Linked DNA regions of Cricetulus griseus. The protein of the gene in region 3 purifies or fractionates together with the protein of the main gene of each other region. This does not show direct contact. Links are inferred from orthologs where the notes say so. Each region holds a gene or a part of one and is shown on either strand. Other genes may lie near its edges.

Evidence for each region. The genes of interacting proteins can lie anywhere in the genome.
Region 1: the proteins of Rfc5 (region 3) and Atad5 purify together in Homo sapiens (affinity purification with mass spectrometry; 4 studies listed by BioGRID and IntAct, counting the BioPlex papers as one, with this or other methods). This does not show direct contact. The link is inferred for Cricetulus griseus from reciprocal best matches to the Homo sapiens genes RFC5 and ATAD5.
Region 2: the proteins of Rfc5 (region 3) and Rfc1 purify together in Homo sapiens (co-immunoprecipitation; 6 studies listed by BioGRID and IntAct, counting the BioPlex papers as one, with this or other methods). This does not show direct contact. The link is inferred for Cricetulus griseus from reciprocal best matches to the Homo sapiens genes RFC5 and RFC1.

Annotation. Positions count from the first base shown.
Region 1 is NC_048600.1:93,541,993-93,549,326, reverse strand, and holds part of Atad5 (ATPase family AAA domain-containing protein 5), read right to left. Parts: intron 4,864-7,334; coding exon 2,963-4,863; intron 1-2,962. UniProt on the Homo sapiens protein: Has an important role in DNA replication and in maintaining genome integrity during replication stress.
Region 2 is NW_023276807.1:132,327,673-132,335,006, forward strand, and holds part of Rfc1 (replication factor C subunit 1), read right to left. Parts: intron 7,146-7,334; coding exon 6,865-7,145; intron 4,548-6,864; coding exon 4,440-4,547; intron 2,277-4,439; coding exon 2,097-2,276; intron 1,521-2,096; coding exon 1,416-1,520; intron 1-1,415. UniProt on the Homo sapiens protein: Subunit of the replication factor C (RFC) complex which acts during elongation of primed DNA templates by DNA polymerases delta and epsilon, and is necessary for ATP-dependent loading of proliferating cell nuclear antigen (PCNA) onto primed DNA.
Region 3 is NC_048597.1:97,321,645-97,328,899, forward strand, and holds the end of Rfc5 (replication factor C subunit 5), read right to left. Parts: intron 6,581-7,255; exon of another isoform or gene 6,507-6,580; coding exon 6,347-6,506; intron 5,748-6,346; coding exon 5,666-5,747; intron 5,378-5,665; coding exon 5,248-5,377; coding exon of another isoform or gene 5,183-5,247; intron 5,026-5,182; coding exon of another isoform or gene 4,996-5,025; exon of another isoform or gene 4,981-4,995; intron 4,771-4,980; coding exon of another isoform or gene 4,757-4,770; coding exon 4,679-4,756; intron 3,584-4,678; coding exon 3,529-3,583; intron 2,595-3,528; coding exon 2,498-2,594; 3' UTR 2,091-2,497; downstream 1-2,090. Other genes in the region: Wsb2 (WD repeat and SOCS box-containing protein 2), read left to right, coding at 1-154. UniProt on the Homo sapiens protein: Subunit of the replication factor C (RFC) complex which acts during elongation of primed DNA templates by DNA polymerases delta and epsilon, and is necessary for ATP-dependent loading of proliferating cell nuclear antigen (PCNA) onto primed DNA.

The DNA of each region.
Region 1 (7,334 bases), on a different chromosome or scaffold from region 3:
GAAGACAGAGGCAGGCAATCTTTTGACTTCAAAGCCAGTCTGGTCTACAGAGTAAGTAAGTTCCAGGACAGCCAAGCCTTCACAAAAAAACCCATTCTCAATGCCCCACCCCCAAATAATAAGCCTTATACAGGTGTGGTGATATGTTGTGAAATAATCTTTTCACACACTGTGAAATTTGTCACTTGCATTGGTTTACTAAAAAGCTGAACAGCCAATAGCTTGGCAGGATTTTCAGGGCAGAAAGGATGCTGGGAAAAAGGGTGGAGATGTGGGAAGTCACCAGCCAGGCAGAGTGGGAGCAAGACATGCGGGAGGACAGTTAAATGCCCGAGAGTCATGTGGCAACACATAGGTAAAGAGAAATGGATTAAGTTATAAGAGCTAGCAAGCCTAAGCTATCAACCAAGTTTTTATAATTAATAAGTCTCTGTGTCATTATCTGGCAGTCCTGACAAAAAGGTCCAACCAACTACAAATGGCATTCAACGTGTGTGTGTGTGTGTGTGTGTGTGTGTGTGTGTGTGTGTAGACACCCTGTGTGTGTGTGTGTGTGTGTGTGTGTGTGTGTGTGTGTGTGTAGACACCCTGTGTGTGTAGACACCCTAGCCCCGCCCAATGGCAAGACGGACAGGTGCCAGGTGGACCCTGGACACCCTGTGTGTGTGTAGACACCCTAGCCCCGCCCAATGGCAAGACGGACAGGTGCCAGGTGGACCCTGGGCGGGGTGAAGGGAAGCCGGGGTGACTTAAGGGAAGGTTCTTAAGGGCTGCACGTGGAGACCTTGGCCCCTTCTCTCTGGCCACGAGCTTGGTTCCTGTGAGCTCGCTCTGGATTGCGTTTTGCTCTGGTGTTTATCTGAATAAAGAAGTCTTACCATCACGGACTATAGGTCATCTCTGAGTTGGCGCCCAGTCCGTCCCCCCCCCCCACCCGGGAGCGGTTCTAAATACAAAAACAGTCTAATTCAGCTTCTCAATCTCCTGTCTCTAATGCTGGCCATGGTACAGAAAGCTACTCCCAGCAGCTGCCTGAGTGCTTGAGCCACCAGTGCCCCATGAGCCCCACATGGTGAGTTTAAGTTTTTGCTGATGCAGACAGAAAGGTTACAGATATGTAATAAAAAGGGTTCAGACAGGGAAAACCTCTAAACAGGTTACAGTATATTTAACAATGTGCTTAAAAATAAAATACAAATAGTCATAGAAAAAATAAATAATATAAAAATAGTAAGTAAAATCTTTTTGTTGTTGTTTTTGAGACAGGGTTTCTCTGCAGCTTTGGAGGCTGTCCTGGAACTAGCTCTTGTAGACCAGGCTGGTCTCAAACTCACAGAAATCCTCCTGCCTCTGACTCCCGAGTGCTGGGACTAAAGACGTGCACCACACAGATAAATAGAAATGGGTTAATTTAAGTTTTAAGAGCTAGTGGGAAAAGCCTAAGCTAACAGCCAAGCTTTCATAATTAATAATAAGTCTCTGTGTCATTATTGGGGGCTGGCAGTCCTAAAGAAAAGGTTCAACTACAGTGATGCACATCCATAATCCAAGCAGTTGAGAAGCAGAGGCAGGAGGATCACTCATGATACCCTCTAGTCTCTATAGAAAGTTCTAAGCTATCCAAGGAAGACCCTGTCTTAAAAAACAAAAAAAGAGGATGGAAGGAGGAAAAGAAAAGAAAGGAGGGAAGATAAACCTACCTGCCTAGCATGAGCAAGGCCCTGAGTTTAACCCCACTCAGCACAGCAAAAGCAAATAAACAGAGAAAAATAATACTTCTTGAAGAAAATTAAAACTTGTCCCTGGATCACTATACCATCAGATAGGCCCAGTATCCAGGAATATACTCCATCATGTACTAAGGAATAACACTCAGCTGGGCAGGATGGAACATGACTTTAATCTCAGTACCAAAGACACAGAGGAATGGTTATCTTTGAGTTGGAGGTCAGACTGGTCTACATAGAGTTCCAGGACAGCCAAGGCTATATAGAGAATCCCTGTTTCAAACCAACAATAAAAAAATGCTCTTATGATTTATTTTTAATCTCATATTTGATGCACTCATATTTGAGGGCTATTAATATGACAAACAAGAATTTAGCAATAGCCGGGTGTCGGTGGGCAAACGCCATTAATCCCAGCACTCTGGAGGCAGAGGCAGGTGGATCTCTGTGAGTTCAAGGCCAGCCTGGTCTACAGAGTGAGTTCCAAGAGAGGCTTCAAAGCTACACAGAGAATCCCTGTCTCGAAAAACCAATAAAACAGAACAACAACAAAAAAAAAACAAGAGTTTAGTACTAGCTGGGCAGTGGTGGTATAGGCCTTTAATCCCAGTACTCAGGAGGCAGAGGCAGGCAGATTTCTTTGAGTTCTTTGAGTTCGAGGCCAGCCTGGTCTATAGAGTACTTCCAAGACAACTAAGGCTACACAGAGAAACTCTGTCTTTCCCCCCCCCCCCCCCCGAGACAGGGTTTCTCTGTGGCTTTGGAGGCTGTCCTGGAACTAGCTTTTGTAGACCAGGCTGGTCTCAAACTCACAGAAATCCGACTGCCTCTGCCTCCTCAGTGCTGGGATTAAAGACAAGGGCCACCACCACCCAGCTAGAGAAACTCTATCTTGAAAAACAAAAATAAACCAAACAAAAGCCAGGTTTGGTGGTACAGATCTGTCATCCCAGTTACTTGGAAGAGTACAGAGAGAGAGAGAGAGAGCATGTTTAACCATCCTGGGCAACCTAGGAGACCTTGTCTCAGGATGAAATGAGGATGGAGTCTTAGCTTGGTGGTAGACTACTTACCTATGAGGTTCAGTCCTTGGGGTTGTATACACATAAAAAACACACACATAAATAAACTGTATTTTAGAAAATAAATGAACTCTACAATGCTTGAAGAATTCCCCTTCCCAATTAACAATGCATGTAGAATGTTCCAACTTGAGAAGAAAAACAAAACTTTACCTAATGGGGCTCTCCGAATCAGAGGGTATTATTATTAATTCCGCTGTGTACAGGCTGTGTTTTTCTGACATGCTGGCTGCTTTTGGAGTGGAAGCTTTCACTGGACTAGTGTCCTGGGCATCCTCAGACTCAGAACCTCTACAGGTGACTGTGGCAGGCATGCTGCTGCCTCTTAGAGATCTCCTGGTTGATTTGGGTGTGGAAACGTTTACCAGTCTGTTTTCAGGCTCAGCTTTGGAATGTGTAACCATATCCCTGATTGGTGTGCTGTGTTTTCTTGATTTATTTCTGTCACACAGAGACTTTTTTAAAGAATCATGTGCTATATCCTCACAAACCAGACTTTCACTGCTAAGTATTGAATTGCTTTTGAAAACTTCAGACTTCTGCCTTAAACTCCTTCGAAGGCTATTTTGGTTTTGTTTATCTTTTGAGGAAAAGGATGTTTCTTCCTTTTCCATGCTTTCTTCTCCATTTCCACCTGGGACTGTCCTAGTGCCTATCATTTTCTTACCCTTTTTCTTTGGTTTTTTACTTTTCTCGTTAGGAAAACTTGCTTTATCAGTGTGTGACTGTGAACTGCCATGCTTTGAAACTATTTGGATATTAGGATTGTCTATGATTTTTTCAGAACTGTTAACACCTTCTTCATTTACAGATTTTTCACTTGGGTCTTTCTGCTTCTCCACAGGTTTCTTGAGCCCATTTTTGAGCAATTCTGATGGTGGCTGTCTGAATGCTCTCATGAACTGCTGTCTCTCTTCCACGCTGCATTTTGGTACTGAAACTTCAGAGCTCCCAGCTTCCAGCACTGCCAGTTCTAACTGGCCCTCCGGGATCACAACATTCGATTTTCTTTTCTGAACTGTCTGCTCATTCTCTGGGTCAGAGAAGCTACTCTCCAGCTCAAGCTGCTTCTGTTTCAAAAATATTGAGGGTATTTTCCCTTTCTTTTTAGGGGGAGTCGGGTGAACTTGTGCAAGAACAGTGACTGTCTTAAGGTGTACCTGTGGAGATAATTCACAGCTTTCTAATTCACCTTCAGAACCACTTTTGACAGCTTCATCAGGTCCAGAAGTAACACAAGCTGGCACTACAGGGTCAGGCATCTCTTCCACTCTAGCTGCCTTGTGACTTTTTAAAAATTCCTCATAGGAGACAGTTATTGTACTCTTGTTTAGATCAGCTATTTTGGTTGCACAAGCCCTGGAGTCTACATGATTTGCAGTCCTCTCGTTTTCATCGGCCTGGGAGGGTTTAGTCTGTTTACCGTCCTTGCCACCTTTCTTAGGCAGACTTATTTCGTCTGTCAAGGGTAAACTTTCAGACAGATCTAGTACCTTGCTGTGCTTTCTTTTTCTCAATCTTTTGCCATCATTTTTTGAGGTGCCTTGTTTAGGATTTCCTTTCTGGGAATTTTTTTTGGAAGTCATTGTATTGGGCTGGGTTCTGCTGTCTTGACTGCTTTCTTCAAGAACCTCTACATGTTTCTTGTAAAGGAAAACATCAGTCCTGCTTTCCACAAAATCACTTAAATCACAGTCCTCCTTACTATCACCACTACTAATTCCAACTGCAGATTCAATTTTAATGTCATTCAGTTGATGAGATAAATTAACTCTCTTTCCTTTTTTCTTAAATTCTGTATTTGAGAGCACTTCCAAAGGTGTCTTACACTCTTTGCTATTGCCAACAAGCAACGAGGGAGATGGCTTTATCTTGCACTCCTTTGTCGATTGTAGCTTCTCATCTGTGGGTGAAGTCTTTCTAAAATAATGAAGAATATTACTAGGTTTTGGTGGAGAGAAGACTTTGTCTCCAGTCTTCTCTATTGGTGATAAATATTTGGTAATTGTTTCACAGGAAGAGCTGTCATCATCTTTTCTCCGCTTTTTACATGGCTAACAATTTAAAAAAAAAAAAAAAAAAGGAAGGGAAAAACACATTTATTTCAAGTAAAATAATATGAACTATTAACTATAAATACAGATTTCACAGTTCAAATAAATGGATAGAAAAACTTCAAATGGCTACTTTGTGTGTATACATACAAGATGTGTGTGATATATGCACACACGTGTATATAAGGATGCATGCAGAGGCTGGAGAAGGATGTCAGGTGTCCTGATCTATCACTTTAACCTTATTCTCTTGTAGGTTCTCTCATTATACCTGGAGCTAGCTTGGTGGCCAGCAGGTCCCAACAATCCTCCTGACTTTGCTTACCTGCAACACTGGATTTATAGGCCTGTACAGCCACCATAGATGACTTGCTGGAGATTTGAACTCAGGTCATTATACTTGTACATGGAAGCATTCTTACCCACTGAATTATCTACCCAGCTCAGGAAGGCTACTTTAGGTGAAAAATTATACATTAGAAAAAAATTACCTTTAATGTTAAACCTACATTCAAATTTTAATGTTATATCAAGTTATATATGTAATTTTTATACTTTATACCACATGTGTATGTACTATACTTCAATAAAAAGTTTATATTGCTAGGTGTGGTGGTTTATGCCATTAATCTCAGTATTTAGAAGTCAGAAGCAGGAAGATCTCTGTGAGTTGGAGGCCAACTTGGTCAACAGAGAAAGTTCCAGGCCAGTCAGGCTACTGGACTGGTAGTCAGACCCTGCCTCAAAAACAAATGAACAAAAAACAACAAAGCTTATACTGATCAGCACTCAGGAATCTTGAGACTGGCAGATCTCTATGAGTTTTGAGGACAGCCTGGTCTACATAGCAAGCTCCAGGCCAGGGACTATATAGTGAGACTCTAGTTCAAATAAAACAAAACAAAAAATTCATATTGAAACAAAACTAAACTCATAAGAAAACAAATTTCTACTATTCTCTGATTATTTTACTTTATTTTGTGTTTTTGAGACAGTATCTTTCTATATAGCCCCGGCTGTCCTGGAACTCACTATATAGAACAGGTTGTCCTTGAACTTAAGAGATCTGCCTGTCTCTACCTCCCAAATGCTGAGACTAATGGTGTGAATCACCATGCCCTACCTACCCTCTATAACCTTAGAATAGCACTATCTACCTCACAGACTCTATACTGAATACATTAAAATATGTGGAACCTAACACAGGGTAGGGTTACAAACAATCCTTTCTGCTTTACTTTTTTGGTTAAAAATAAACACATCATTCTAAGTATTTGTAAGAAATAGTTATTTATTTAAGAAGCACAGAACCAACAAAAGAACACTTGTCACAAGTCTACTGTTTTAATTTGCTACTACAAGTCACTGCCTACCTCCTGCAGTAGCCATTACCCTCACAGAATCAAGGAGATTATAACACTAAGGACATTCCTTAGTGTTAGACATTCTCAGTCAGCAAGGATACTTGCATCCAGGCTAAACAGAAATCACAATGAGCCCAGGTATGGCTGACGAAGACTGGGCAAGGCACTGCCTGCTAGGAAAAGAGCATAAGACTCAAGGTGGACAATCATGAACCAGGTGATACTATCAAGAAAAACATAATTTTCATTGTTGTAACTAAGGCTGAGAATAACTGCCTAGGTACGCACAATCCTGGATTTGATTCCCACCACTACGTAAAACCAAGCATGATGGCACGTGCTTGAAACCACATCACTGAGGAGATAGAGGCAGGAGCATCAGAAGCTCAAGGTGAATTTAGTGAGTTTGAAGATAGTCAAGGCTACATGAGACACTGTTTGAAAGAAAAAAATCAATGACATAACTAGAAAAAGTAACCAACTTCTAGAAGTAGACTCTACTTGAACATGGATCAGCACATAGATTTAGCTCTATTCTCTAAATCCCTAGAGCAAATAGACTTTTGATGCATCTTGAGTATGACTAGGATTCATCCAGCTACTGGCTCACTAACAACTGTGATCCCATTTTTGGCTGTATATGTTTCTTCTAAAGGTTTCATGGGTTTACCTTAGAGCACAGGGGATTTGAACTGTGAAACAGGTAGGGTAGCACAGAACAAATTAACTGGTCTGATTTTCTGTGATCTACATTTGTCTTCTTGACTATCTGTGAATGATACGGATCAACCAGAGTAAGGAAGTATCTTACTGTTCTGAATTTACTAGATTACAATATCTAAGCTTACCTTTAGAAGGATATTATTTCTCATTTAGTTTCTATGTGTATTGTATGTTTTAAGTATAAACAAAAGCAGGGCATGGTGACTCATACTATAGTCCCAGTACCTTGGAAGCTGAAGCAGGAGGGCTACAGTGAACTGGAAGCCCTCCTAGCTTGCACAGAGTTCCAGGTCAGCATGGGCTACAGTATGAGAACTCAAAGAAACAAGTATAAATATAAGCTACTGACAAAGACCCTTAAACCTGACCTAGAAATTCACTAAA
Region 2 (7,334 bases), on a different chromosome or scaffold from region 3:
CATGTACATGAGACACACTAAAAGGGACACAGTATAACCCTGTGGTATTCATGACAAACTGGGTAACACAATCTAATTGTGAGAAATGTAACACAATGCCATGATAGACATTCTACAAACAACTAACCAGGATAAAATAAGGAAAGACAGAACTACCCTAGGCTGGAGGAGGCTGAGACAGCACAAGTCAATGTAGTGCAGGAACCTGGAGCAGAGAAAAGGTGCAGTGTGGTGAACAAACACTGTAGCTAACCATGAAGCAGCAACATTCATTCCCTACTTATTGCAACTTGACCATGGTTACATCATCCCCTGGGACTTTTCTATTGGAATAAACTGGGCAGACCATCTTGTCACACTGGTGGTGGTACAAGGGACAATAATCTTGGCATCCAGGCACTCCTGTGTCCTGCATGTGGACACACAGATAGATAGTGGAATCAATGTGACAGCACTGGGAGGCGCAAACACAGAAAATGGAAGGGTTCAGAAGGATGGACCAAGTTCATCCTGCCCCCAGCTTAGATGTGAGTCAACTCTTTCTTCTTTTTTTCTCCCCTTTGTTGAAAGCCAACAGAGACTAGTTTCTATCATAATTGAAAAATTCCTAATAAAGTTTCACTAAAGATACTAATAAACTCCTCTTTAAAAAACAAAGAATAGAAAACAAAACTTTCAGGCAGGGCCATGTAAAGTCTACAAGAATACAGAATATGGACTGAAGACATGACTCAGCAATTAAGAGCACTTACTTCTCTTGCAGAGGAGCCCAAGTTCAGCTCCCAGAACCCATATTAGGTGGTTTACAACTGCCCAGAACTCTAGTTCTAGAGAAAGATGCCCTCTTATAGCCTCTGTGGACACCACATTCAAGAGCATGCATACACCCCCACCCCCCACCCCCCCCCCCACACACACACAATTTAAAAACTGAGGCCAGGTGTGGTGGCACATGCCTTTAATCCCAGCATTTCAGAGGTAGAGGCATTCAGATCTCTGAGTCTGAGGCCAGTCTGCTCTACATATCAAGTTCCTTACCAGCCAAGGCTAAGTAAATTTTTTAACCTTGAAATATATATGTGTGTGTGTGTGTGTGTGTGTGTGTGTGTGTGTGTGTATGTATGTATGCATGTATGTATGTTATGAGATGTATATATATATATGGACAATAAGGATGAGAAGGTAGGTTACACACAACACACTATATGTTACACTCCCTCTCTCCTCCCCTGAAAAGTAAAGAAACACCAAAGACATGCTGAGACAGTCTTCCAGGTCAAAAAGAAAGAAGGTGAATTTACTTGTTTTACACAGGAGTTTGATTTTCTAGCCAAAAGTACTGTCTATTGTGCATCTCTATCAAACAGGAGGCTTCTAATACCAACTTCAATAAACCAGGTTTGTCTTATACACACCTCAGCTTCAGCAGCTATTTCATACTTGGATTTCTTGCCTGGCATAGTTCGAATCAGATCCAACAGACCATCTTCATCAAGGATTTTTGTTCCCAAAGCTGTTGCCTGTTGATTAAAATACAAGTCATCAGAGCTCCATATAAACTACTTGTTGTTGGAGAGGAAATTTTACTTTAAGGCTTACTAGCAGATGAATCACCACACTGTAAATTAACACTAGAATTTATTTTTAATTATTTTTAAGATTTTGCCAGGCAGTGGCAGTGCATGCCTTTAATTCCCAGCACTCAAGAAGCAGAGACAGGAGGATTTCTGTGAGTTCGAGGCCAGCCTGGTCTCCAGAGCGAGTGCCAGGATAGGCTCCAAAGCGACACAGAGAAACCCTGTCTCGAAAAACCAAAACACAAAACAAAACAAAAACCTGTATGTTTCTATGTTAACAATATTTTTAAAACTAGAATACACAAAGAAAATCAAGTAAATAGCAACGATGCTTCCAATTAAACAAACCAAAATCTGTAGTCACAACCAAAAACACACATACGGTATGTGAAGAAGACAAAACTACAGGGTGAAGGCGTTCTTTCTCTTCTTTTTTAACTGTAATGTGGCCAGGAGCATTACCACAAACAGCCACACTGGCAGGCAGGTACTACTGTGAAGAGCGCCAGCAGGACCCACCTTGTCACTCTTGGACTGTCCGCTATCCCGGCCCATAACGAGATAGTTGGTTTTCTTGCTCACATTTCCTGTTACTTTGCCCCCATAACGTTCAATTAGAGACTTGGCTTCTTCCCGTTCAATGGACTCCAGCACGCCTGTGATCACAAATGTCAGTCCTTCCAAGCAATTTTCAGCTCCCTAAAAACCAAAATGTTCAAGCAGAGAAGAAATTACAAGGTAGCTTTCCAAAGAAATATAGCTGAACAAGCTGACTTGACATCATAAATAATGATGAATAAAGACCCCAGCATGAAACCTAGATAGAAATTACAGCAGAACCTCAAAGTAAATCCTGATGAATTCCTACATAGCTAACATTTAACACATACCAAATGAATGAGGAAAAACATACTGTTACCAAAATTAAAATTACCCATTCATGCAATTCTCCACTTTTCATATTTAAATCAGTAATTTGCTTTCATAGCTTCAAGTAAACAATCAAATGTAATCTGCCCACTGACAAGCCCACTGTTGTTAAAGTACAGCTTGGGTTCTGGAAAGCCTATCAAGTTGGAGCGTTTATCATTCTCTGATCATTACCCGACTGAGAGTGAACCTAAGAAACTGCTAGAAGCATAGAACAAAGATAACTGGCCATCTAAGAGCTGACCGGGCTTCTCTTCTTAAGTCTGAACTACAACTCCGTACAGTTATAGATTTTCAAAATTTTTATAACATCAACTAAATTATACAAACAAAATGGTCATTCTACATGATATGCCCTGCTCCTTATTACTCTGTGAATAGCACTGAGATTTTAAAAAAAGTTAAAGAAAACTGGAAGCATATTCCAGCGTAAGCTGATCATTCCTCTGCCACATAAAGAACCTTTCTTAGAACAAAGGAGGAAAGAATAGTTATTATTTACTGAGAAAGAAAGGGGAAAATGGCTAACAGCTTCTCTTCAGTCCTTCCATTTCTAGGAGTGAAATGAACTATTAAATCTTCACAACAGACTCCAAGTCACCCTGGAGAACTCCACATCAAGAAGCTCCTCCTTTCAAACCCCAAACTACTGTCTCCCTAGTGCTCTCCCACTAGAGCTCACAATATCATGTTACTGACCCAAGCTCAGCCTCACCAGCGTCCTTACCATCTCATCCATTAGACTCCTCTACAGCTCTGACTCCAGGAAACTCCTGGCAGCCTCTTCAACATTCCCTCACAGCCTTGCTGTCACAAAAACACAGCAGTCCCGTAGGGACACCATTTGCCCTAAAGTCCTCCAACAGGCACTTACTTGTTCAGTCTCTCAGCGTTACACCCTATACAGGAGGCAAGGCTGATCTCTTCTTCCAGCCCCTTTCCCTTCCCTCTAGCTACCTACCCTTTCTTCTTAGGGGAACTTCTAATCGCCTTATGTAGCAAAGTGAAAATTAAATTTAAATGTCTACCAAATTTATCTCCTAGATTCTCAGAAGCCCCATGGCACAGTTAATTATCCTTCCCTTGGGGAGGGTCTACTCCATCAGCAAGAAACACGTCTTAAGTACACCTCCAACCTTAAAAACATTCACCTCTTCCCTTAAATCCCACTCTTCATTTCTATTTCACAACCAAACTTATCAAAAACACGTCTCCATTTGTCACCTCAGACTCTTGAAGCCACTGCATCAGTTGTCTCTACTGTTCTTGCTGGGGCCATTAAGGACCATCACTCACGTTACTAAATACAATGGACAAGTCTGAGTCTTCTCATTGTTGCAACTTTCACAACATAGCAGATCATACCACTCAATCACCTTTCTTGCCTGCACTTCTCCTATACCACTCACATCAGACTTCTTTCTCACATCTGGGCTGCTACTTGTCAATCCCACTTTGGTTTTCACCCCCATCTTTATATAGAGGCTATGATAAGGCTCTCTTTTCTACAATTCCTAACAGTAGCAACAAAAAGTTTTATGTTGGGGTCACCACAAGAGTAACTGTATTAAAGGGTCACAGCATTAGGAAGGTTGAGAACCACTGATCTAAATGATCCACCCAGGATCATCCATGTTTCTCTACTATACTCTCTAAGAGCACCTAGGACTTTTCTCTCACAGCACGGTACTACAATCACTATCAGATATTAATGCATTTACCATGCTTTTCCTTAAGCTCTGAGTCCATGAAGGCATGGAAAAGCACATCCCTTCTCAGGCTACTTATTATTTAAAGGACACCAGTGAGTCACAATGTAAATAAGAACTTCTAATTCATAAAAAGGTAGCTGAGACCTTTCTGTTAATACTGGCTCTTTGCTGGAACAGGAGGCAGAGTAGCACAGAGTAGCACAATCCTCGTGACTCTTACCTTGGGTATTTCTTTGGAGCCCAGAGCTTTGGGACCTTCACGATTTAAGTAGCTTCGATAAGCTTGATAATTAGTACGCTTCTTTTCAGAATCTTCTGGACTTACAGACTTTGGACACAGGGAAAGAAAAAAAAGTCATGTAAAATTAAGATGTACCTAGAAAGAATTACATTTAATTTAGATGGATGGATGTGGATGGATGGATGGGTAGGTAGACAGACAGATATAAATGGAGATACATGTATGTGTGTGTATGTATGTATGCATGTATTTCTGATTCAGAGATACTGGATGTATCTAGCACGTGTATATTGGGGAGGGTCCCCTAGATAACTTTTAGAACTACTACATTATTTTTCCAATTCCTACTTTATATTGCTTTTAACTTAAATGTAACTCCAAATCTCTTAAAGTAGACAAAATATTCATTTGCATAAATAAGTGATATGATCAATAAGATAGTTAAGCTGGTTTTGAGTTAAACCAACTACTGCAGCTGATCTTAGAATCCAAGCCTTTTGCTGTTGTTGCTGAGACAGGGTCTCACTGTGAAGCCCTGACTGGCCTGGAACTTACTATGTAAACCAGGCTGGCCTTGAACTCAAGAGATCTACCTATGTTTGCCTCCTGAGTGCTGATATTAGTGGCATATACCATCACATCTGGCCCCAACCCTACTTAACAATGGCTCTCACCCACTAAAAAAAGTCCTTATCAAAATACAGCTGCCTAGACCATGTGCCCTGGGAAGCCATATTTTTAACAACCATATACAACTGGGAGCGTCACTCATTTGTAGTCGCAATTCTTTTTTTTTTTTTTTTTTTTTTTATTTCTTTATTATGTGCACAGTATTCTGCTTACATGTATGTCTGCATGCCAGAAGAGGGCACCAGATCTCATTATAGTTGGCTGTGAGCCACCATGTGGTTGCTGGGAATTGAACTCAGGACCTCTGGAAGAGCAAGCAGTGCTCTGAATCTCTGAGCCATCTCTTCAGCCCCCTGTAGCAGTAATTCTATCTTGTAAAAATGTGAAATAACTTTGGACTTTCTGCATGCCTACCTGCCTTGTTGTTTGTTCTGTGACAGGTCTCACTACGTAGCTGAAGCTGACCTTAAACTATCAATCCTCCTTCCTCGGCTTCCCAAGTCCTGGGATTACAGGTATGCACCACAACTGGCTATAAAACACCTGAAGCATATTCACTTACTATGTCAGAATTACTTGACTAAGATCAACTGAATTTACTAAACTCTAATGTTCCTACGTACGGGTTCTGAGTTACTGAGTCCAGCTTTGAAAACACCATAAAAATAACAGTATCACTTTTTTAAAACTTTTATCTCCTCCTCCCCCAAAATAGTCACCCTCTGTAAACTTCCCCATGTACTTAGTATGCCTGAAGAAATACCTTTCCACCAGATAAGTATTTAGTGAAGAAAAATCTGAGGGCAAAAAGTTAACTGATACTTCAAGCAAAAGCTAAAATTCAGATAGCAATTGTTACATCCCAGGCACTGCTCTAAATGGTTGTATAAATCATTAAACACATTTTAAAATTTTTTTATTACATTTACTTCGTGTGTGTGTGTGTGTGTGTGTGTGTGTGTGTGTGTGTGTGTGTGTGTGTGTGTGTCTGCGCGTGCGCGCGCGTGCACTACAACATGTGTGGAGGTCAGAGAACAAACTGTGGAAGACAGTTCTCTCCTTCTACCATGTAGGTCTCAGGAACAGAACTCAGGTATAGGATCCTTACCCATGAGTCATCTCGTTGGTGCCCAAGGCATCATCTTATGTCTATTCTACATCCACACAGAGATGTAACCAAATCAGGATCACGTATCTGTTCAGCAGTAGAGCTGTGATCTAAACCTGGCTCCAGACTGCTTGAAGGCTCAATGTTCACACTGCTACTCTGTCTTCAGAGAGTCAAGACTAGTCACAGATAATCTTGGGAAAGTTACTTAAACTCAACCTGTTTCTTCATCTTTACTACTTAAATAATAAAAGTAAATATCTCAAAGGTGAAGGCTATGGGATGTATGAATATGAGCACAGTTTCCCATATACAACAGCAATGAATAGTGGATCATTTCGCTATGTTAATAATGAATGTTCTCTAAGAGACTTAAAAGATATGTCTTCTGGGATCAAACACAGGGGCTCAAATATTTTAGGCAAGCACTTAGCTATACCCCCAGCTTCAAATTATATTTATTTTATTGTTGTTTTTTTTTTTCACATCCCAAAGTTTCCCCTCCCTCCCCTCTTCCCCAAATTATGTGTGTGTGTGTGTGTGTGTGTGTGTGTGTGTGTGTGTGTGTGTGTGTGTGTGTGTGTGTGTATAAATGTAGGAAGTTGAAAACAATCAAACTCAAACCAACATTTTTCCCAAAATACATACTTTTCATAAATTTCCTACCTCTTTTTTAACTGGAGAACTTTTGGTTTTTTTAGGAGTCTGTTTCTCTCCTTTGAGTTCAATGGTGTTTTCTTTTCTTTTTGAGGCCATCTGCTCTGTGTCTTTGTAAGAACTTTCTTCTTTTGCTTTCATAAGTGCCAGCTTGGAGCTGGCCTTGGGAGAAGAACAGGCTTCCTTCTGATGAGCTAACGATCTGGAGGGATGCTCAGATCCTTTAGAGTTCCCGCCTTTGCTGCACTTAGCAGGGCTGTGGGTCTTTCTTTCATTTAAGAAATGTTCTGCTTTTACAAAGAAAAGATTATGATTGCTATTTGGGCACTATTACCCAGCATCAACATTTTTATTCTTCATCTTTGAACAGTATGATTTTAGTAGCACATGTTATCCCACATATGATTTCAAAACATTTACTACTTTAGTTCAGATAGCATACTTATTTTTTAAACTTAAATGTTCACATAATACTTCTT
Region 3 (7,255 bases):
TGGTCACGTTCAGTTCTGGACAGCCCCCCGTGTCCTGTCCTCACTGAAGCATTTATGCAGAAAAGCCCTTCGAAGTTTCCTGACCACGTACCAAGTCCTAGCACTGCCAATCCCCAAGAAGATGAAAGAGTTCCTCACGTACAGGACTTTCTAGCAGCCCGGCATCCCGACTCCTATAGCAGAAGCAATGCAAGGGACTGGCTAGGGTGGAGCCACCAGATCACACTGGACCTGCTGTGGACCTTTACCCCACTGGCACATGCAAGTAGGTCTGAGTGATGCCACTTGTGCAGTGCCAGCCTTACCTCGTCGTTGTCCATTGTGAGCAGCCTTTGTTGGTCTAGTTGTCTTGAAGCCAGGTGCAGTTGTGGATGTTGTCTGGGTAATAAAAGCAAGCAGGCTCCAGAGCCTGTGTGGTGGTGGCCAACTCCACACTCCCTTCACTGGGAAGTGCCTGCCATGCAGCGTAGTACCTGCTGCCCGTTTCCAGTCAGTGACTGCATGGTTTGAAGTTCCTCTGCTCTGGTCAGAGGAACATTCATATTTGGCACATGCTTCTGGCCAGGACAGTCCTATGGAACTAAGTTATGTTACTAAGCTGCAGGTGGACTGGGCTGTGCTCCTCACCAATACACCAATACTGGCTTTTATTTTTCTTTAAACAGTGGTGTGCATGTGTAGGAAATGACAAACAAGTACATCAGATCATATGAGGAGGTGTCCTCAACTGCATGACGGTCAGATGTCCATTTATCAGCATCATATTTATTTGTATTTTCTCAGCAGATATTAAGGTACAACTGTGTTTTCTCAGTGGTCTTTAAAAACCAAGAGTTCTTAAGTGGCCCAGTTGTGAAGCCATGTCTTAGTTGTGTGAAGTCAGTATTGTCACTGGCTCATGCTGTCATGTGCGTGTGTTTGTCTCTACTGCTTGACCTCATGGGATTCACCCTCCAATTCCAACTGCCCTAAACAGACAGCCCCTTCCGAGCACCGCTCTTCACCGGCAGCAACAGCTACCTATTCAAGATGCCTCACTCACACAAAATCTGCCTTAGGAAAGTTAATATATTTTAAATTATTTTAAAAGAAACAACACCTTACTCTTTGGCTTTTCTTAATTGATGCTTTAAGGGGCAGTGTTAACAGTGTACAGTGTGTGCAAAGAGTCTCCTCTATCATTTGAAGAAAACATTGCAAAACGAGGCTTTCATTGAAGGGAGAAAAGAGAACAAGAAAACTTGTCTCCGTTCCTTTTTTTCCAAACACCACAAAGGAGAACGGGACACTAGTAGGCAGTTCAGCCATGTGGCTGAGATGTTGCCTCCACCCCTGACCACTTGGCCACAGCTTTGAGCTCCACTGGGAAACTTGGGGAGCAAGTTGTTTATGGGCAAGAAAACAGATTTCTCACTTAGACGCATACGCTCAACTTCAAGGTCCATTGTGCTGAAAGTGTCTTCACCTCAGATGCATCTTACACAGCTAATCTAAGAAACAGCAGGTTGGTCATGGCGCACCAGGTGCCCTCCAGTATCTATAGCTGTGCACAGCCCCTTGTCTAGCTCAGGGAATGCACATGTTTCTCTATCATTGTACAGAGACCTATAGGCAACAGTTTGACAGCTTTCTAAGGAACAGCCTCCAAGGAGAGCTTATTCTGTGACACTAGTGACAAAGGCCTTGATAGGAATGTAGGTGGGCAGGCCAGCAGGCATGAGCAAGCACCTTATTGTGCTTACTGTGGAGGACTGATGTAAGCACAGCCCAGCTGCACAGGAAGGAGTACCTACAGCATCCCATCCCTCCCCAACAAGTGAGGCCTGCACAGCTACTAGCCCACAAAGGCACAGTCTGAAGGCTAACTGTATTTGACAGTTTCTTTGCTATTGTCACAGTAGAATTTGGAACCTGCTGGGAAGCCTTCAAAGAGAGAGAAAGACGGGTGTTTTGTTTCTGGTTGGATTTATCTCACTAGGCTGGCATGCAAGTGGCTGGTAATTCTGCCTCAGCCTCCTGAATTCTGAGATTATAGGTGTGCTACCACATTAGAACAGTTTTGATCAGAAACTCACTAGCACCCATTTAAAGCAGATACAAAAGTGAGAAAGTTTAACATCGGAGATGCAGACCTTGAGCTGAACAACACCTGAATCGTGTTCAACTTGAACATTACAATGCAGACATAACTGAGGTAAGGCCAATATTGTCACCCCAGCAACTGACAGTAAAGACTTTAGAGCCTCCCCCCCCCCCCCCCCGCCAAAGAATTATTTTCCCCTACAAAAGACAAGCATCGTGGATAGTTACAGATTAAAGTTGCTCTGTAGATCCCGGCTCCAAACAGCCACAGATAACACTGCCCAAATACCTGGGGAGAGACTTCTGTGACCGGCTTTATTCAGTGGCACAGGGCAGTAGTACTATACCGGTAAGCAAGTCCTCTGTCCTCTAGTCACCAATGGGCCTGAGGCAGGGCCATCAGGCCTTGGATCTGCTAGGCCTCTGAGACGATCAGGTCTCTGGTGACTTGAAAAGCAGCGATGAGGGAGCTCAGCTGTATCTTCTCACTGGTGCCGACGGAGAGTCTATACCTGAAGACACCAACCCCAGGTTGAGAATAAAGCATACAAGGCCCCCACCTGTGAGCTCGAGAACGTGAGAGCTGCTGTGGCCTGCCAAGGGGAGCCAGAGCTGATATACCTACTCTGGATAGCACTCCTGTCCGTGTCCTCCAACAGTCTCTTGCCCAAACACTCAACTCAGCCATCTGATTGACGATGCCGAGGACAGACTGAAAACCCAGAACCATCAGGTTCTAAATTCCACCCACTTCACCCTCCACAGACCGCAGGGTGTGTGATGAGGGCTTACAAACTGTGATAGGAGGACTTGGGAAGGGAGCTGGAGGTTTGTGGTTTAGGCAGTAAAGCAGGGCACTGGCATCATCTTGTCACTCCTAAATGCCTAGCCACCGAAAGCAAAATCACTCCCAACGTAGTGATAGAAAATGACCCAATTTGTCTACATGAGCCAGTTACAGCCTGCTGGAGCTGGTGATAGTGACATTCGGTCAGGGCCCAGTGTGCTGTCCACTTAAATGACAGCTACCAGTGTTACTAGGGACTAATGACAGTGTTTACTGAGCTGAGCAAAGTGGAAAATTGAGCTTGTTTGCTTTTCCTCCACTGTGCTCCTTCCTATATACCACAATGCCTTAATAAGCAGGGTAGCTGGGCACCCCCAAATGACCTGCATACCCCACCTGAAGCAGAGCCATGGGCTAAAGCTTGGAGGACTGAAGGGACCCTCTTGTTCAGACATGGGACTGAGCTGTGCTTGCCCTCTGTACTACTTCCCTGTGTTCTGCAGGCAGGGCACAGCCTTCACCACATTCTACTTGGCACTACCTCAAACCAAATCGCCCGTTTCTGAATGACACACAAGCCGAAGCCACACAAGCTGAAACTAAAAAGCTTACAACAGAAGAGGGGACATCCAAAGAATTAAAACCGGGAAAACACTCACTCAATGTCTGCCATTTTGGTTAATAAATGTATCCGAACCGAAGATGGAAAGTCAACTGGGGAAAAACAAAATCAAGTGAGTAAGGCCTGTCACTTATTGGTATAAAACAAATAAAACCAGAGGAAAGGTCAGGCTTAAGCATCACACACGGGGCTTCTGACAGGGTTGAGCCCCAGGCCCATGACAGGCCACCAGACCAATAGGCTAAGGAAGGTATAGGACCCATAGGCTATAGGCTATTTTGTGATTTTTGTTTTGGGGTGTGGCTCAGTGGAAGACTGCTGGCTAGCATACATTAGAAGATAAATTCCATCATCTGCATCACCAAAAACAAACAAGAACACTCAATCACACACAGTACTCATCCCCTAGTACAGTGATCATAAGAATACAGACAAGTCAATACTGTCCATGGTGGGTGACAGCTACATAGTAACTAGGAAGCCAAACTTAAGCACACTTTGTACTGGTTGCCAGATGGAGCCTCTCCATTTGAAGGAGGCTGCTGTCTCAAGAAAAGCTTCCAAAAGGCTATATGGAGGGGTTCCCTGGAGAGCCTCTTCTAAAAGCTTGCATGTGGTTCTCCCTACCCCCACCCCATGCTGACTGCATTATCTGGGGTGACTGGCAGGTATGGCCCAACCAGAGATTGATCCCCGGAACAAGGCAGAAAGCAGGGAACTTAAAGGAAGATCTGCTTGCAGATCTCCCCTTTGAGGGAGGCAATCCTGGAAATGTGATTCATGGGCTAGAGAGCAGCTTTAGGATGCCACAGCCCTGCGTGCAGATCCCCAAAATGAGGTCTGTGGACATAGCCCAGAAGTAGTAGGTCATGTGTATACAGGCATGTACAAGGGCTTGGCTTCAATCCCTAGTGTGGGGGACATGTAACAAGAGTGAAAAGTAAAATACAGCACTTGCTGCTCTAAGATGTTCCCTTGAGGAAATAGAGTTCCCCTATTTCTACTCACTCACCCAGCAGCTCCAGTCACTAGGAAGGGTTTGGAGCAAAGTTTTAACAGCAAGTCAGAGCTGCTGGAGATTAAGGGCCAGACACTGTTTCTGCATAGGAATGAAAACCTCACACCCTCTGTAGCCATCCCACAGCTATGCCTCCCCACCCCTCCCCACCATGGGCCACCACAGTTACCTCTGTGCACAAACAAGTGAACCTCTGTCAGGATGTCATGCAGAGCCAAGCCCTTCAGAGTCTTCAGCTCCATGATGTCTAGGGAGGAGCAGCTAAGGGAAGGGAAACCATTCCAGAACAGGCTGCAGGGAGGCTTCAACCCCAGCCCTTGGCGAGTGACTTCAAAGTGGGGCTTTTCATCCCAGCACAGACAGAAACCTCTCCACTTCTAGCTGCACACAGGCCCAATTCTAACTTGTCCTGTTTTATCTTCAATGAGGCTTTTCTAAGAAGCATAGCTGTCTCTTAAAGAGCAGAACAAACGGCTCCTTAAAAGATCACACCGTTATCTGTAGCCTTTCATTTCCCTGCAAAACAAGTTAATGAGGCCCCTTTAATGACTGCTTCCTCCACCCAAGGCCTAACTGAAGGGAGAAGCTACTTTTGGCCTCTCACAGGCCAGAGCCATTCAGTAAGAGAAGGGTACTCTCCACCTGGGGACACCTGCTGTCTACCAGCTGATACCTTCCACCTGGGTGGTGCAGGTGCTGGCTGGGCCCGAGCCTGGCAGCAGCCACAAGGAAGGATACGTCTGTAGGCAGTGGTGAAGTCTTGATTCAGCATCCAGTCCAGAATGTTGGCGATATCTGTCTTTAGGGGGTGCCCAGTGCAGGTGTACACGGTCTCTTCTGTCACCTTTCCAAAGGCCATGTTGGTACTCTGCAGACAGGAGGACCCAGGGGCTGTCAACAGCTGTCCTGCTGCAGTGACATGTCACTGTACTTTCCACACTGGAAGGGCTGCCCTCTGCTGCACAGCATCCTCCCCCAGCCTCTCTTGCAGCAGTTCTGAGTCTCCCTTAGGGGAACACACAGGCAAGAAACTAGTGTACAACAAGGCGAGTCTCACTGGTGCTAGATGTCTGAATGAATGTATGGATTGGCTGTCTGTCGGTCTTGTAAAGCTATTTCAAATCTATGGTTTAATATGCCCAGAGTGGGATCGTACCTGCAGAATGTTCAGAGCCCTGCGCATATCCCCACTGGACAGAGTGATGAGGGCCTTCATTCCATCTTCACTTATATCAACACTAAAATAGGCAAAGGAGTTAATTAAAACCCCATCCCCACCCCCCAAAAAGAGCACAAACAACATCAACTATGGGGAACAAAATGGCCTTGAATGATTAGGGCTTTAAAGGAAGAAAAACATCAGAACAGAGGTGACAACACTTTCCTGACCTACAGCATCCAGAAGCTACTGCAGTGCTTAGGGACACGTGTCACATGAGTAGCCATGCCCCACCCAGAGTCTTAACTGTGGACCAAGCCCCTAAGGAAGTGGCTGCTGTGAGTGACTTTCTCTGGAAAGAAACAGGCTACAGCTCTACATCTGACAGAATGGATGTCTCAGAACCTTCCCTTCCAGCCAGCTGGCAGCATCTACAAAAGGGACTTAGCAATAGTCAGTTCCCATGACACAGAGGGGACAGCTTTCAGGATGGCAGGTGAGTTGTCAAAAAAAAAAAAAAAGGGGGGGGGGCTCATGAGGTAAAATGACCAGGGCCCACAGAAAAATGACAGCAGCCAGCAGTCCCGAAGGCTTCCCCTTGGACTAGGCACTCTGCCCAGTCTTCATGCCACTCAATCCCCAAGATCCTCCCCCTTCCTTCTTGTAAAGCAAACTCACTTCTCCTCTTGTACTACATGCTCCAGGCGAGGAACCATGAGTTCAGGCGTCAGGGGGCCAAATCGGAACCTTGTGCACCTGGACTGCAAGGCAGGGATGATCTTGGACAGATAGTTACAAATGAGGCAGAACCTGGTGTTTTCTGTGAACTTCTCAATCACTGGGAGGAAAACCAAACACCTCACCTCAGATTCCACCCTGACTGTCCAGAGGGACCTCGGAAGGTTTAACAAGGTAAGAGCGGGAAGCTAGCTGCCTACGGGGCAAACAATGTTACTGGGTGTTGAGCAACAAACAGGTCCAGCTCAACCACCTTCCTGGGTAGATCTCACTCTGTAGCCCAGGCTGGCCTCAAACTCCAGGTGATCCAACCGATTCAGCCTCTGGAGTGCTGAGATTATTGCCAAGAGTCAACTCCCCCCCCCCACTTTCCAATACACTTCCAAAGTTCATAACATACCATTAGAGCACACAAGACGAATTTTTATGATCTGTCATAGTTCTAACACTTTTGTCATCTTCTCAAGATCAGAGTCCAGTCTGTCCACAAGCCCCCATCCCTTCGTATAAGATGCTGTCTGACAGGCTGCCACGGCCCACCTCTAGACAGGGCGATGGCTCTGCACACTTCCCTGCAGCCCATGCCTGAAAATCTAGGAGCATTCCGGGAACAACAGCCAGTGCTGAGAGATACACAGGACACCAGTGTCACTCTGCAGGGACCCAGTGTCCCCACACAGATCTGCCCACACTGACAGTCACTTGGCAGAACAAGATGCTGAAGGAAGGGTGCCAACACTCTAGAACCAGAAGAAATTCTGTCTGTGCTCCTCCTCCTCTCTACCATTCCTTCCCTCCCAGGTCTCATCTCCACAAGACCCCAAAGCTGCTCTGGGAGTGTTAGTGGGA